2 linked regions of the Rhinolophus ferrumequinum genome follow. The protein of the gene in region 1 interacts with the protein of each later gene in a biochemical or structural test. Links are inferred from orthologs where the notes say so. Each region holds a gene or a part of one and is shown on either strand. Other genes may lie near its edges. The genes, in order: PRPF40A and MECP2.

What was found.
Region 2: the proteins of PRPF40A (region 1) and MECP2 form a complex in vitro, tested with the Homo sapiens proteins (2 studies listed by BioGRID, with this or other methods). The link is inferred for Rhinolophus ferrumequinum from reciprocal best matches to the Homo sapiens genes PRPF40A and MECP2.

The regions. Positions count from the first base shown.
Region 1 is NC_046291.1:67,935,502-67,942,972, reverse strand, and holds the start of PRPF40A (pre-mRNA-processing factor 40 homolog A), read right to left. Parts: upstream 3,049-7,471; coding exon 2,647-3,048; intron 1,530-2,646; coding exon 1,398-1,529; intron 10-1,397; exon of another isoform or gene 1-9. Other genes in the region: ARL6IP6 (ADP-ribosylation factor-like protein 6-interacting protein 6), read left to right, coding at 4,072-4,471, 5,913-5,966.
Region 2 is NC_046284.1:6,364,241-6,372,781, forward strand, and holds the start of MECP2 (methyl-CpG-binding protein 2), read left to right. Parts: upstream 1-5,447; 5' UTR 5,448-5,542; coding exon 5,543-5,604; intron 5,605-8,541. UniProt on the Homo sapiens protein: Chromosomal protein that binds to methylated DNA. It can bind specifically to a single methyl-CpG pair. It is not influenced by sequences flanking the methyl-CpGs.

The sequences.
Region 1 (7,471 bases):
TTTATCTTTCTGTGGAAAGAAACTAATTTTAAATAAGAACCAGAGCATTTAAAGAATAAATATTTTTTAAAGCTCATTATCTAGTTCGAGCAGCTCTACTAAGAAAACAAGAGCTCCTTGCTGCTTAAAGATGGAAAGAAACAGAAAAGGAATCAGAGGTGTTTCTCCATCAACTAGGGAGTTTTAAAACTCATGTTATTCTAGCGTAACAAAATAAATGGTTCTTTTATTTAAAGTTCTACAAGCCGAATCCTCTGGGCCTGGTACCTTTGAATAAAGATTTTTATACAAAGTTAAGGGCTATATTCCAAATTTTAAAAAAAAAAAGTACTTGACATTTAAACCCTACTACTCTTAAGATTAAGTAAAAAGAGACGCAGAGCAAGCTCCTTTCTCCACTACAATTTCACCAATAACTTAAACCATCAAGGCTTAAATGATTATCAAAACAAACAGTATTAATTAGCAGAAACATCATACCTAATTGACTGGCTTTCCAAAAAATTTTGTTAGCCTAAATTTTTGATGATTTATTGGGATACTCAAATGGAAAGAAACCAGCCACCAAACTAATTTTAAATAATGAGAGCATTTAAAGGATTCATTATCTAGTTAGAGCAGCTCTACTAAGAAATTATTATAGAATCTAGCGGGGCATAAAATTATTCACGGTAACTGAACCTGTTACCTTTCTTAAATGCTTCTCTAGGAACTCAGCTCTATTACATTCACTGAGTCCCCATTAAAATCTTTTGATCCAGATCACTCCTACAAAATGTCCATTTACAATTTATGCTGGAGATGGAAGGGACAGCTCAAAAGCAGGAGTGCAGAAGCAATAAACATTAAAACAACGACAACAAAATAGTGTAAGTGGAAACTACCTATTTGGCACTGTCCCATGAAGAACCAAATTAGAGTAGAACCTCCCCACCTCCACACACCCCCTCCATCCCACACGAGAAAGCTTTTTCAGGAATAAAATTCATTCTAAGCCAAAGACCTGAACAAGTGCAATTTTCAGATTCTATGTATTTACATAGTCCGCCGACATAAATTATGTTATCTATCAGATAATATTTACCCTTAGAATATTAAGTTCAATTGACATACTTGGGGGAAAAATGTCATTAAAAAGTCTACATGTACAGAATTACTTTTAAATTAAAAAAACAACTCAATTTTGTTGCAATAAAAAGTTGATCTTTTATACAGAAGACTTTTCGTTATATTCAAAATGGTTAGTATCATGACTCAACATTTCATTTATTTGAAAACATTATTTTGGCATAAACGAATCCTTAAATAGCTACAAGTATTGACCCAGATTTTGAAATCTTGGCACAATACCATAGGCAAAAATAAATAAAAATGAAATAAAACAAAAACATTCTTACTTGTCCCATTGGTGGCCCTCCCATTGGGGGCATCATTTGTGGCATCATTCCATGAGGTACAGGAGGCATATTTGCTCTCTGACCCATAGGGTGCATTCCCATTGGGGCATAATGCATGCCAGGGTGCCCCATCTGAAAAATAAGGGGAATTCAAAAATTAGCAAACAACAATAAACTTCTTAAAAAACTGATTTCAACAAATCAGTTATGTGCAGTGATATAATATTAGGTTAATATGTGATTTAATTACCAGGTTAGTTTATACTTTGCCTTAAACAAAAATGCACTACATTAATATTTATAATGAGCTTTCAACTAATCAAATTCCAGAACAAAATGTAAAAAATAAAAATCATTAGTGAACAGCTAGATCATGTTTTTTTAAGCACATTTATTTAATCAATTACTAATTGACTTGCTAAATTCAGAAAAAAATGTATGTGAAAGCCAACTTAACTGTTATGATGAAAACCACAACTTTGTCCTTTATCACAGATATTAGATAACTTTTTATTTTTTAAGACTAGTTATTCTTAATTTATTTCTAGATGATCTTAAGCTTAATTTACCAAATTAACTCAAATAAGAACTGGTCTTATGAAACAAATAGTATGGGTACCCAGGGACACCTCATTCCTAACAAATAAACATTTCCTAATATAATCACATTTCCTAATATAACGTTTATACGGGTAAAATTATTTCTACCAAAAAAAAATTTATTCCAAGACTGAGGTCTGTCATTCACACACACTAAATGCAAAAAAACTAATTCATCCATTTTAACGTGCTTTTATAAGACAACTACTTCCTTTACCTGTGTGTTCATTGTTCCAGGTCTTAAAACCACGTAATGGATCACCTGCTAATTCTCCCAGCTGTCCACCCTACAGACACCACTACTACTAGTGAAAACAGATCTTGGCATATTCTTCTAAAGCCTCCAGAATCACGTCTCCGCCTCCCCCCGCCCCTCCTAAATCGGGCCTACCTCTCGGGAACCGTCACCCAGCTCAGGGCCCAGCACCTCCACCGCACATCTGTCTAAGCCAAGCCACTGGAAACTTCCAGGGTCCCACATCCTTCCCTTTGTGCATTCTCGCCCTCCATTTCTCCCCCTCCGAACACACCCCACCACCTCGAGCTCTTAGCTTCGTCCACTCTTATCTTCTTCTCCTTTTGGAGAAAGCTTCCTGTCTGACTCCGTTTTTCATTGTGCCGCTTTTCCCCTGCCACACTGATCCCTTACCGAGGGCCGTCTCCTCAGGAAGCCGTCAGCAGAGACCCAAGAGCTGGAGCAGAGGCTTGAGCCGGACAATCTCCGCTCCCCGTCCCCAGGACCCCGCGCGGGAGGATGGCTCTCCATTTCACTCACCATGAGGCCTCCACGCTCGGCTCCTGTCCCCGGCCTCATCGTCTGGCTCAGACTGCTCCGCCGGCGGCCACTACCGCCGCATATACCAACAAGAAGCGATCTGAGTGGCTGGCGCCCGCTGGGGCCAAAGGTTAAAGGCTGCCCCGCGCTACGGGGCGGGATCAGCGGGGCCAATAAGCTGACAGGCTTCCCCGCTGTCCAGTCAGAGTGCGCTGCCGACACGCAGCTCTGCGGCGATTCGCCCCCAGCCTCAGCCTCACTCGGCGTCGCCTGCATGGAGGGGGGGAGGGGGACGGAGGAAGTTTCTGCGCCGAGTCCTCTGCCGGAAAAACTCCACCAACTTACCCCCGGGAAGGGAAAACAACCGTGTCCCAGCTTCCCGAGCTTAGACCGCCTCACCCCTTAGGGGTGGGGCAGTGGGGACCTGCCACCTTCACCTCCCTGCCCGAGTTACGTACGCCCCACAAACCTGAGGCCGCCAGGGGGTAGGGTGGGGTCGGGAAGGGTGGGCGGGGGGGAGGGGTAAGCAGCTTCTAGCGTTAGAGGCGGCCGGGACCCGAGGCGCGCGCACGGTGCTCTAGGCGGAGGGGCGGGGGCGGGGAAGGCGAGAGGAGGGGTCCGGTGGTCGGTGGAGCGGGCTGGAGCACCGTACGCACCAGCTGGAGAGCGCGCGCCGGGGCGGAGAGGTGGGGGGAGGAGGCGTGCCGAGCAGCGTGGAGGGAAGTTATGGTAGGGGCGGGGAGAACAATGCGAAAGGGTATGACGGGTGGGCACTTAAGGCGACCTGAAAGCACTGGCCAGTGAGCTGCCGTTAATGAGGGAAGCCCGGGGAGAGTGTGAGCGTCTAGGACCAAAAGGGAGAAAGTAAATAGGTTTGGGTACGGGAGTCAGGGGAACGAGCGGGCGCTAGGACCCGGCGTCAGAAGATGCAGCTGTCGGGCTGCCGGGGCGCGGGCTTGCTTGGAGGTGACGCGGCGGTGGCTGAGGCTTCTGGCCGGGACGAAGCAAAGCAGGGAGAGGAAACCCGGCTACCTTCGGCCTCGGCTTCCTCAACGCTCGCTTCCCGGCTCCCCTTCCCTCCTCCTGCCCGGGGATCGTGCTCTAGTCCAGTTGTACCTAGCCTCTCTTAGGGCCTCACAGCACCTCCTCCGCCCCTCCGCGCACCCTCGCGCACCCCTGCGCTTGGGGACAGGGTGGTGGAGGCCGTGGGGTGGCCAGGCCGCTGATTGGCTGCTGCGAGCTCGGGGCGGCGCGGGCGGGAGACGCTGGATCTCCTCGGGCCTCGCCGGCTTTCCCGCCATGTCGTTCCTGGAGAGCGGGAGGTGCTCGGTTGCAGTGCGCCGCCGCCTCGGTACCCCCGTCCCTTTTTGTCGGCCGGGGTTTTCCTCCTTGACTCAAGGGGATAGTTGGGGTGAAGGTGAAGTGGACGAGGAGGATGAATGCGACCAAGTAGCCCGCGACTTGCGGGCAGAATTCTCGGCTGGGGCGTCGTCAGAGCCTAGAAAGGGCTTGTTACTCCCGCCGGAGGGGGACGGGTCTCCGGTCCTGCCGGATAAGCGCAATGGCATCTTCTCGGCGGATACGCACGGCCGGACACAGGTTGGGCGGTGGCCGGTCCAGGTCCTCTCAGTTCTCTGTTCGCTGCTGTTCGCCGCCCTCCTCGCCTTCCTCCTCGCCATCGCCTACCTGATCGTAAAAGGTACTGAAGGTCGGGCCTTGAAAGTCTGTCCAGAATAAAGTTGAGCCTGGACATGGCTCTAGCCTTCGTCACCCTTCTCCCCATCAAAGACCAGCGAGCTCAGCTGGTAGCCGCTTTCATTCAGAGTTCTCAATGGCACTTTTCTTTGCTCTCCTCCCTTTGTCCTCACTTTTCTTAAAGGTGAAGTGTCCTGGTCCGTCATCAGGAGACCCATTAGAAAGACTTTGAGTCAAATAGTATTTTAAAATCAGTGAACACGAGGTGAGATATTGGCAAAATTAAAACGCAGGACAATCAGTAGAAGACGGTGAAAAGTGTAATTAAAATAGGCTATACGTGTTCAAAGTCTAATTCACAACGGGTTAAATATGTGCTACCCAACGATTTCTCTGTACACTCAGAGAATTCCTGAAGTACAAGGATTTCCATCCCACAGCCCAAATGTCTGCTATTAGAGTTAAATAATGAGCTCTTCGTTTTGTGTTAAGTTTGCAACTGAGTGTAGTGGTAAAGTTCTGTTACAGCAGCTAGTCTGTGCTTTCTCTGATTATTTTGTTTTCCTGTGTCTAAAGTTGACATAGCCAGATTGGAATAGAGTTGTGCCTTGAAAGGTTTTCCAATGCTTATACGGATGTATTTATTACGTGGTTGGATATTTTATATTGCAGTGGAAAGAATCAGACCTGAGTTTAAATCTCAGGTCTCATTCGTGTGTAACTAGCCAAGTTAGCCGAAAAAGAAAAATTAGGACAAAACTACCTTTGTTGTATGAGAAGAACCCAACACATTGTTACTCAAATATTAATTTTCACTAAATTGAATTAAATCTATTTGCAGTTTTTATTTTTCCTCATTGCTTCCAATCCACTAGTGGGCTGCAGGTGGCATCTAACAGTTTACCATGCTTGAGTTTCATACAGAAGACAGATTGGCAATTTTTACCTATTCGTACAATGGTACTGGTTATAAACTGTCAATGTTAAATTAAGTATATGGGTACCAATATTTCATTCCCTCCCCGTCTTTTTTCACTGTAACTCGGAGTTTTGTCTTGTAGGTAGTTTATTTCTCTTTTGCTCTGAGTGATTGCCTTTTTATCATAAAGCCACGAAACCTGCAAGTACATTGAGCTGTGCTATTTTGGAGAATGGAGAAAGGACCTGAACTCAAAACCTAGTATGCCCTGTGATTTGCATTATATAAATGTCTTCATGACAACTCAATGGTTTAAATATTACCATTTTATATATATGGCAGTTGACTCATAGACGTCTTACTTGCTTACTGAAGGTCACATAACTAATAAATAGAATCAGAATTCGAACCCAGTTTATGACTTTAGATCACTTTCCACAGCTCTAAAACTGTCTTCTCAGCCTTTGAGCTACTGTTCAAATTACAAACTCATCTTTTTTACTGAAGCCCTTTTTTGTGTTTACAGAGTTACATGCTGAGAATTTGAAGAATGAAGATGATATAGACACTGGGCTATTAGGTATGGACTTGTCACTTCATTTGATTTTGAGCTCATTTGTTTTTTTCAGATCATGTTTAAACTATACAAGATTTTGGATAAAATACTTAACGTATTTTCTTGTGCTGTTGATTCAGTCTTAATCTTTTCATTTGCGTATGTGTGGTCAATTTTATTAGATTTTCTTTTTACATATGTGTAGGGTGTGTGTGTGTGTATGTGTACCGTGTTTCCCCGAAAATAAGGCCTCGCCTGACCAGCAGCTCTAATGCATCTTTTGGAGCAAAAATTAATATGAGACCAGGTCTTTAATGTAATTAGTATAATATATAATATAATATTAATATTAATATAATAAAGGGTCTTATATTAATTTTTGCTCCAAAAGACACATTAGAGCTGATGGTCTGGCTATATCTTATGTTCAGGGAAACACGGTATATGTATGTATGTATACCACACACACTAGGAATGAGTGCATTTTGAACAGAACTGTATGTGACAAAGACCCAGAGAATACTGAAAGAGTTTTCTGAAAGAGTCTTCTTATACTTCTTCCCAGGAATTAAAAAAATAAAAAAACTTCCTCACAAACTTAGAAAACATAACATCTTAAGCAGACCTCAGAAGAGATTTAAGTTCAAATTTTATAATCGACTTGTTTTTAAAAAAAGTCAGAAGCATTGGTCATACTTGCACAGGTTAATAATGACTAGGAAAGAGTCAGACCTGAATTTCTGTAGAACCTCTATTGAATGCTATAGATTACAGGTTTCTAGTGAAAAATTCAAGGGTTATTTATCTTGTATTTATTTTTCTCTGCAAAATGATTTTGAAGAGTTCAGAACTTTGGTATATTTATCCTATTTGCTATAATTTATTTGATTAACCACTCTAAAATGAGGGGAAAAAAATGGTTGGGATCCTATCCTGCATGTTACAGTCTCCCTCCCCAATCTTAGCAAACTATTTAATCCACCTCTTCAAGGACAGTGCCCTCATGATGATACAAAGTATAGTCTACTGGATTTTGCAGGAGGAGAAACCTTTATCTTCAAATTACAAATTAGTTTGTTAGAAACTAATCTAGAAAACTTGTCTGTGCCCTTCTCAATTTCTTGCATGAGAAAATAGTATTTTTTGTTACTCATTTTATTAGTGTATGTTGTTATACTGTTTCATCTCTAAAAACAGCCAAGATTATGAGTCTTAGTGTATGTGCTGCGGAAGTGAGCACGATTATGAGTTTTTTCATAGCATTGATGTCAACTCTTGATGCAGTAGAAAGAAAACCTTATAAACTAGGCATAATTCTAACTTGTTTAAAAGTTGGCAAAATTTGACGTTTATGAAAAGATTGGATAGCGTTTGTCATCTGAAGAAATGGCTTGTTCAGTATCAAAAGGAATATAATGGGACTTCGTCATTGCCCTGCTTGGCTTTCCACTTATAGTTAAATCAATGGTCTGGTATTGCTTTTAGGTGTGCTTGGTAGATAACTGACAGCAAATAGGATCATCTTCCAA
Region 2 (8,541 bases), on another chromosome or scaffold:
TCCTTTTTCTGGGTTTTACCTTTCAAAAATTCTTGTTAGTTGCTTTCTGGACTTCTTAGATCACTCTTCATAGTCCTAATATTTTCTCTCATACTTTTTGTCTGTATTGTTTTGTTTTGTTTTCTGGGAGACTTCTTTGGTTTTATCTTTCAATATTTCTATTGAAATTGGAATTTCAATACTCATTTAATTTCCACTAATTCTTTTTTTTTTTAAGATTTTATTGGGGAAGGGGAACAAGACTTTATTGGGGGAATAGTGTCTACTTCCAGGACTTTTTTCCAAGTCAAGTTGTTGTCCTTTCAATCTTAGTTGTGGAGGGTGCCGTTCAACTTCAAGTTGTTGTCTTTTCAGTCTTAGTTGTGGAGGGTGCAGCTCAGCTCCAGGTCCAGTTGCCGTTGCTAGTTGCAGGGGGCACAGCCCACCATCCCTTGCGGGACTCAAGGAATCAAACTGGCGACCTTGTGGTTGAGAGCCCACTGGCCCATGTGGGAATTGAACCAGCAGCCTTCAGAGTTAGGAGCACGGAGCTCCAACCGCCTGAGCCACGGGGCTAGCCCCTCCATTAACTCTTTCTTGTTTCCCACTCCTTTTACACAATATTCTGTTCTTGTCTTTTGGATGCAATATTTTCTGTCAGGTCTCTGAATAAGCTAATCAAATTAATTTTTTCCCCATATGTTCCCTGCATTTTCTGGGATTTCTCCAAGTTCATTTTCCCCCTATAGGTTACACTTGACTATTTTTAATGTTGCAGGCCTTATTCAAATTTATGATGATCCCTAGTGGTTGGTTAATATTTAATAAAGAAGGACTGGATAATTATTGTGGATTTATTCTGCTTTAGGGCAAATAGTTCCATTTTCCTGCTATGACTCTTTTGTGTAGGGTAGGGAGCTGAGGAACAGAGTTTATATCCCACAAATGCTGGAATGAGGAGAAAATTGTTCAGGGGTTACCAATACCCATGCTGGAAGCCCTAGCTCTCTACAGACATTTCATTCAATTTCATTAGAGAGCTGTCAGGTATTTTCGCTGCAGGTTTACACCGGTTGTCCCCTCAGCTGTCTGTTGAAGGAGAGGAGGTTCCAACTGGTGCAGTCATTCTGTATTGGGCCCTTCAATCAATCCCCAAGTGTTCAGTCCCATTTAATTCTATTGCCTTCCACCATATGCCTGCTGATTCGGAGCCTACTCTCTGGTGTTATATCTGATAAACTGGCTCCCACTTCCTCTGTAGTTCCCTTGTCAATTTTAGGCTGGATTTTTCCTGCCTGTTTTATCCATCAACTAATTCTCATCTGCTTTCCAAAATGAATGTTGAAATCTGTCCATCGAGGATAACTTCCTATCCTCACCACATTCTCTTCACTCTGATGGGTTTATTCCTTTCTGTTAATCAATACTTTTCTTGCGGTAAGTTTCTAAGGGTAAAGAAGGAAAACCGTGTTTGTATATCTGTGTATATGCGCACGCACATGAGTGCAAGCATGATGTATCAGAATCAATTCATTTCTCATCTATTTTCTAATAAATGTACTTAAGGTTATTAATTTTTCTAGATGACCATTTTGGCCACACAGCATAGGTTTTAATGTGTATGGCTCTCATTGTTGGTCACTGCTGAAGAGTTTATAATTTTAGTTTTTGTTTCCTCTTTAACCAAAGAGTTATTTTGAAGCCTGTTTTAAAAGTTCCAAATGGAGAGTGTTTTTTTGTTTTGTTTTGTTTTGTTTTGTTTTACTTTTGCCCATTCTCTTGTTCCTAAGTTTTAATTTTATTGTATTGTTGCCAGAGATTGAACTGCAGGATTTCTACATTTCGGAATTTACTGAGATTGTTTTTTTTTTTTTGAGGGGTCTAATGTATAAGCAACTTTAGGAAATGTCCCATAGTGTTTGAAACAAATTTGTAGTTTTTATTTACTTATTTTTTGTGATATCATCTGGGATGTTCTAAAATTTTGTGCAGTCTGTTTTACCCTTCTCATGAAAATATATATTTTCTATTAGCCGAAGGGATTTTTAGACAGATGGAGAAGTTTGAACTCTATCTTCCATATCGAAAAAATCCTTCTGGTTGTTGGTTTTCTGTCGTGGTTGCTATCTCTATGACGTTTTCCTGGTTTTTATCTTCTACAGTCCCATTTTTTAAATGGCCCATTTTTAATTCACTAGTAAATACTTTACACTCCAGTATATTTTTCTACTTTTCAATGGCGAGAGTGAAATTGTACCATTTAAGTCCTGTTTATTCAAACTAAGGGATTTAGCAAGACCCTAGACGCTCTCCATTGGTTTTTTTTCTTTCAAAAATGTCTTGACTTCTAGCCTTGTACACTTACTCTTCCCAACCTAGCATTAACTTGTTATAGTATATAAAAACTCCTGGATTTTGATTCAGGCAAAGAATTTCCAGATTAATTTGTGAAGAATTGACATCTTTATTGTGTTTTTTAATGTAGGTGTTTTGGCATTTCTTATGACGTTTGTTCCCAACTGCTTTATAATTTTTGTAGCTAGAGTAAGTTGAATGTTTTTCCCCCATTAAATTTCCCAGCTCTTGGCTGGATCTCTATGTCTGCATTCTAACAAGCAGGGAATCAACTTGGAATTAATTGGTCTTTCTCCTTGCTGTGAACTCCAAGGATGAAGTTTAAAAGAGAATGAAAGGAGAAGCACACGTGTTTTATTTTACACAAGTGATGTTGCCCTGTAGATCTTGTTCTGTTTCTTGCTTTGTTTCTACTTCACACCATTAAATACAATGTTTGTTCTAAGTTTTTTTTGATAGATACCTTTGATTAGATCAAGAAAGTTCCCTTCTATTCATAGTTCTCTAAGTTGTTGGGGTTTTTTTTTATCATAAGTGGCTGTTGAATTTTATCAAATGCTTTTTCTGCATCTATTGAAATAATCATATAATTTGTTCCCCTTAAATTAGTTAAAGTTGATTTTCTAATTTTAAACCATCCTTGCATTCTTAGGATAAAACTCAACTTGGTTATATTATTATATACCGCCAGATTCAGTTTATTTGTCTAGAAGTTTTACATCTATTTCCACATCCAGTATCATGCTGTTATTCGCTCGTTATAATAGTTATATTAGTTTCACAAGTTTGGAGAGATTTCTTCATTTTTTTTTCTGTTTATGATTGGAATTACCCACTCATTAAAGATTTGGTAGAACTCGTCTGTAAAACTCTCTGAGCTTGTTTTATTATTTTTTTTGGGGGGAGAGATTTTTAAAATACATAATCAATTCCTTTGTGGTTATCGAGGGTCTATCCAGGTTTTGTTTCTAGAGTCAATTTTGGTAAGCTGTGCTTTTCTAGGAATTTATTCATTTTGTTTATATTTTCCAATTTATCTACCATCTATTGTATAATCTATTCTATCTGTAGGCTGTGGCTCCTTTTCATTTTTATTATAAGGGGCTGGTCTCTTCTCTCCTTACATGTCACTTCTTAGAGGGTTGGCTTTTGTTTTTCAGCTTGTCGAAGAATCAGCTTTTGATGTACTCAATCTATCACTTGTTTCTGCTTCATCAATTTCTGCTCATTGTTATTTTTCTTCTATTTTCTCCATTTTTACTATGTTGTTCCTTTTATAGCTTCTTGAGTTAAATATTCAGCTTGTTGACTTGTTGACTGCTTGTTGACCCAAGAGCCTGCTCAACAGCTCCACTTGCACGTCTAATAGGCACTCTAAGCTTAACATGGCCAAAACAGAATTCTTGATCTGTACCTATAAAAACGTGCGTTTTCTACAGGGGAGCCCAATCGTGGTGAAAGGCACCCATTTACTCAGTTGCTCAGGACAAAAACTCAGGAATCATACTTGTTTCTTCTGTCTTTATACCCTACAGCCAATCCTTTCTGCCTGATTTTGAAAACATGGCTTGAATCTCACAACTTTTCAGAACCTCCACTGCTACCATCCTAGTTAAATCCACTCTTACCTCTCCTAGATTGTTGTCAGGAGCTCCTGACTGGGCTCTTGCTCCTAGTTTTGTCCCAGCATGGATAGTTCTCCACACTGCACCTACAACATAGATTTGATGGTGTCAACTCCCAGTTCAAAATTCTCCAAGGGCTTCTCAGCTCAGAATAAGCTCCCATTTCCCATAGTGACTCCATCCCTCTCTAGCCACATAAGCTTCTTTGTTAGTCCCTAACACGCTGGGCATAGTCTCTCCTCAGGGCCTTTTTACTTTTCTGAAATGTTCTCTCCCCAGATATCTACATGGGGGAATAAAATGAAGGCAAAAGCCTGTGGATATCTAAATAGCACCTATTCACCCTTGTTTTATCTACCTCAAAGCCTTTATCACTATGTTACATTATGTTACATAGTTATTTGTATGTTTAGTATGAATATTTCACATAAGAATGTTAGTTTGCTGTCTTATTCAGTTCTGTGCTTCCAGAGCCTGGAACAGTGCCTGGCATATAGCAGCTGTTTAGTAAATGAATGGCGGTGGGGGGGGGAGCCAAATCAGAATTAGAAGATTCCTTGTTAATCACAGGACTTGTACAAGGAGCATTTGATGAATTGGAGGATGGCTGGAATCAGAGTAAGTTCGCCTTGTCAAGCAGTCTTATCTTGAACACCCCACTGACTAAAACTTTTCTTATACTCTTATTTTTTCAAAACAGAATTGCTGGCTCTTAGCTCCCAAGTCACCTCTTCTAGGAAATCTTCCCTTTCCCCTCCAGGTAGAGCTTAGTGCTGCTTCCTCTGTGCTTCCACTGCCTTCTTCACACCTCCACCAAACCATCTGATCCAACAATGACGGGTCTCATGCAGCCTTGTCATGTCCCCTTTTCCCCCACCACAGTTTCACGAAGGCCAGAGCTGTGATTTGTTGTCAGTTTATTCCCTGCCCCTATGAGAGTCTGGCTCGTGGCAGGCTCAGATGAAAGAATGCAATGGATAGGCCTCTTAAACCAAGGTCTTTCAGCTGGAACGTCAGGCTCCAGGGCAGGCAACTTTGTTGCTTCTACTGAAGGTGGTGACAATAAGAAAATGCAGGTGCAGTGAAACACTTATTGCAGCTTACTTGGTGTGTTTGCGGACAGCGCATCAACCGCCCAGGAGGGCCGCGCGCAAACAGGAGTGCGAAGGCTAGGCCTTCACTTGCCCCAGCATCCGCAAGGGCCCATTAATCCTTAATATTCAAATTCCTCCCACTAAACCAGCCCCTCAGTGCCCAAGCCGCCTCTTTTTCCCAAATGACGGCCAACGGCAGCCAATCGGCAGCTGGGCAGGGGGTCCGCCCCCTTTTCCCTGGCCAGAATGGACACAAACTATCGCCAATTGGTGGCTCCGCCGCGGAGGACCCGCCCCGCCCCGATCGCCGCACCCAATGGCAGACGGGCTCGCGGCAGCGCCGGGGGCGGGACGCGGGCGCGCAGGTGCAGCTGCGCGCAGTCCGGCCGGGAGGGCGGGGCGCGACGTCGACCGTGCGGAGTCCCGGCGTCGGCGGCGCGCGCGCTCCCTCCTCTCGGAGAGAGGGCTGTGGTAAAAGCCGTCCGGAAAATGGCCGCCGCCGCCGCTGCCGCGCCAAGCGGAGGAGGAGGAGGAGGCGAGGAGGAGAGACTGTGAGTGGGGCCACCGCGGCCGCGGGCGGGGACCCTTGCCGAGGGGCGGGGGGTAGGGGCGGGACGTGGCGCGGGAGGGGCCCGCGGGGTCGGACGACACGGCTGGCGGATGGCGTCCCTCCTCTTTACCCTCCCCCTCCCGCCGCCGCCGGTGACGGCTCCCCCCTCGGCCCGTCACCCGCACTTGCGGGTGACCGTCCTCGCCCCGGCCTCCCCGGGCCACCTTCGCCTGGCGCCCCGCTCTCTCCCGCCTTCAGCGCGCATCCCGGCCCCCGGCCCCACGGGCGCCGCTGTCGCTGGGGCTTCGCTTGTCTGGGCTGCGCGCGCGTCGTGCCCTTCTCGGGGCTTCGGGCCCGCGGCGCCGTCGCGCGCCCGCGGCCCCAGCCTCTCCCTGGATCGCGCTCTCCCCTCTCCCTCCCTCGCGCGCCCCCTCTCCCGTTACTCGGCCCCCCCCACCGGCGCGCGTGCGCAGTCCGCCTCCCGTCGGGAGAGTGCGCCACAAGGGCTCCTGCGCTCTCACCCCCCATCTTCAGGCTCTGCCTCCCCCTCCTTCTCGCCCATTCCGTGACTTTCTGCCCCCATTGCGAGCGAGTCGGTCCACCATCTCCTTTCCCATCCAGCAGGAACAAGTAGGTGGGAATTTATTGTCCACCCACAAAAGGGACTAGACATTGTGTTCCTGGTCCCACAACTCATCCGAAAGAGGCTGTTCTAGTTCCCATCGGGAGCCGTGGATAGGGGACTGTTTGTCCGGCAGCACCTGAGGCTCTTCAGTGGGAGTGCGCCTCCAGGGTCTTTGGGGTTGCGGTGGCCTCAGAAATATGAGCGTCCTCCCATCCTCCCCCCTCCGCCGGCGATCTTCCAGTTACATAAGTGGAGTGGGACACCGTATGTAACGGGCTCCCGTAGTCCTGGACGCGTCCTGCTCTAGATCACCAGTACCATATGGGGCAAGTTCATCGCATCGCTGTGGTTCCTGTCAATTGTCTCTGAAAGTTTATTTTCTTTTTAGTTTGGTTATGCCTGACTCGCCCACACTGAAACTCAGGTGACTTTTACATGGTGTGGCAATGTGTCTGTGGTTTTGCGCTGAAAACTTAAGGTCATTGTGAAGAGTCTAAAAAGAGTGCTCTCACAGAGGAGAGACCCTTTGCGATATTGCTAAGTATGGCTCGGAGAGGGGGAAGCTTGCTCTGGAATACCTCTGTGGCAGTCGTTTCTGTTGTGTGTTCCGTGTGGATTGGTCACAGCAGAAATGGGCTCAACCACAAAATTGATATTCCTGACTCATGGTCAGGCAGATGTGTGCTTCTGGTTATTTTTCCAGGAACAGGAATGGGCTCTGTGGAGCCATTCACATGTTGTGTCTGCTGTGTGGGATCAGTACCCCAAGTTGTGAGACGGTAGGATCAAATTCAGGGGGTGGTTGGTGATCCTGGAACCATCCCTACCGGCGTGCGCTGATGCTAAGTGGCTTAGACTTCCGGCGTGTGATGATGCGAAGTAGTTTAGACTTGGTAGGACTCTCCCAAGTTACAGGCATTTGGTCATGCTAGAAAAACGAAGCGTAGTCAGGCCTTGGTAGTAAAATTCATTGTTAATGGCAGTTAGTACTCTAGAGGAGAAATTTGGGTTTCATGGCTGGAATTTTCATCTGGATCTCAGTAATTGCAGTTAACAGTGAGATTGAGCCTGGCCTCTTGAGTCTCTTGAAATATGCTAGATCCTTATTGAAAATACAGGGTCTGGATTTTTTTAGGTCTTCTGGGAATTTCCCCCAGGGATTTCGGGGAAATGGGCTTATTTGTGGGCTTTTTAGGACTTGCACTTCAAATCCCAGTGGGGAAGCCTAGAAAACACTTTTATTTCCTTACCCACACATGTCAGAACTTTAAAGGGCACAATCAATCTAGTAGAAGTACAGTTGATTAAGTAAGTCGCCACAGAGCACCCATTCGTACATGTCAGCTAAGTGGCCTGTCACTGAGGTACATCCCGTCCAGAACACAGACACGCAAGCCTCACTTGACAAAGATTCCAAGGTTTGTACATCTGAACCTGAGATGTCACTGGACAAGGGCTTTGCTTTGTTTTGCCGTCGTTGGCAATGTGTTTGCCTCTTCAGATGCCCTCCAGCCAGCTGTTTGTCATACCCCTAGCCCTTTAAACAGCACAGGTAGCTTCCAGAATATAGTTTATCTGCGAAGTTCCTGGTGGTGTGTGAAGTAAGCATGTCCTAACAGCTTGAAGAGACCTTCTATGGCTTTCTTGCTCATATTGGCCTATCATGCTGTTCTATTTCTTACTGTTACAAATTTGCCTGGAATGCTTTAAACCGAGTACCAGGTCTTTGTTTCACCTGGCAAAGCATGATGCCGTCAAACCGTACTCCCAACTTTTGGGCTGTTTGTGTACTGGGGGGTGGGGTGGGGGTTAGAATACAGTTTTGCATTCTATTTGTAATTTCCAGTCAGAGCCATTGTTTCCCTGCCTGCCCTGCCGCTGAGTGGCCGGATCTAGTGGGGTACGGAGGCGAGCTGTGGAGTTGGACAGCACAGCTGGCTAGATGAGTCCCATATGATGTTGCCCCCCACCCAAATACTCCTTCCCCCACGTGGAGATCAAATGAGAAACTCTCTTCTTTAACTTACAATAAAGAAGAGCAGCGTTAAAATTGTTGGTTCCCGTCTCAGGCCCGTTTTCGCTGCTAAGGTACCTGCCTGGGACTGTTTGCATGATAAATGATGTGTCTTGCAACCAGTCATCTTTTCTAACAACGAATATCAGAAGAAATCTTTTAATTGGCTCAGAGCAGTTTGTTGGAAGGCTGCCTGAGAGTCCGTGAGAGAATAACAGAAAATGTTTGACATTTGTAGTAACTAGTGTTTTAAACGCACGGGGGGTAAAAGAACAGCCCTAGACTGGCGCCGAGTTGCA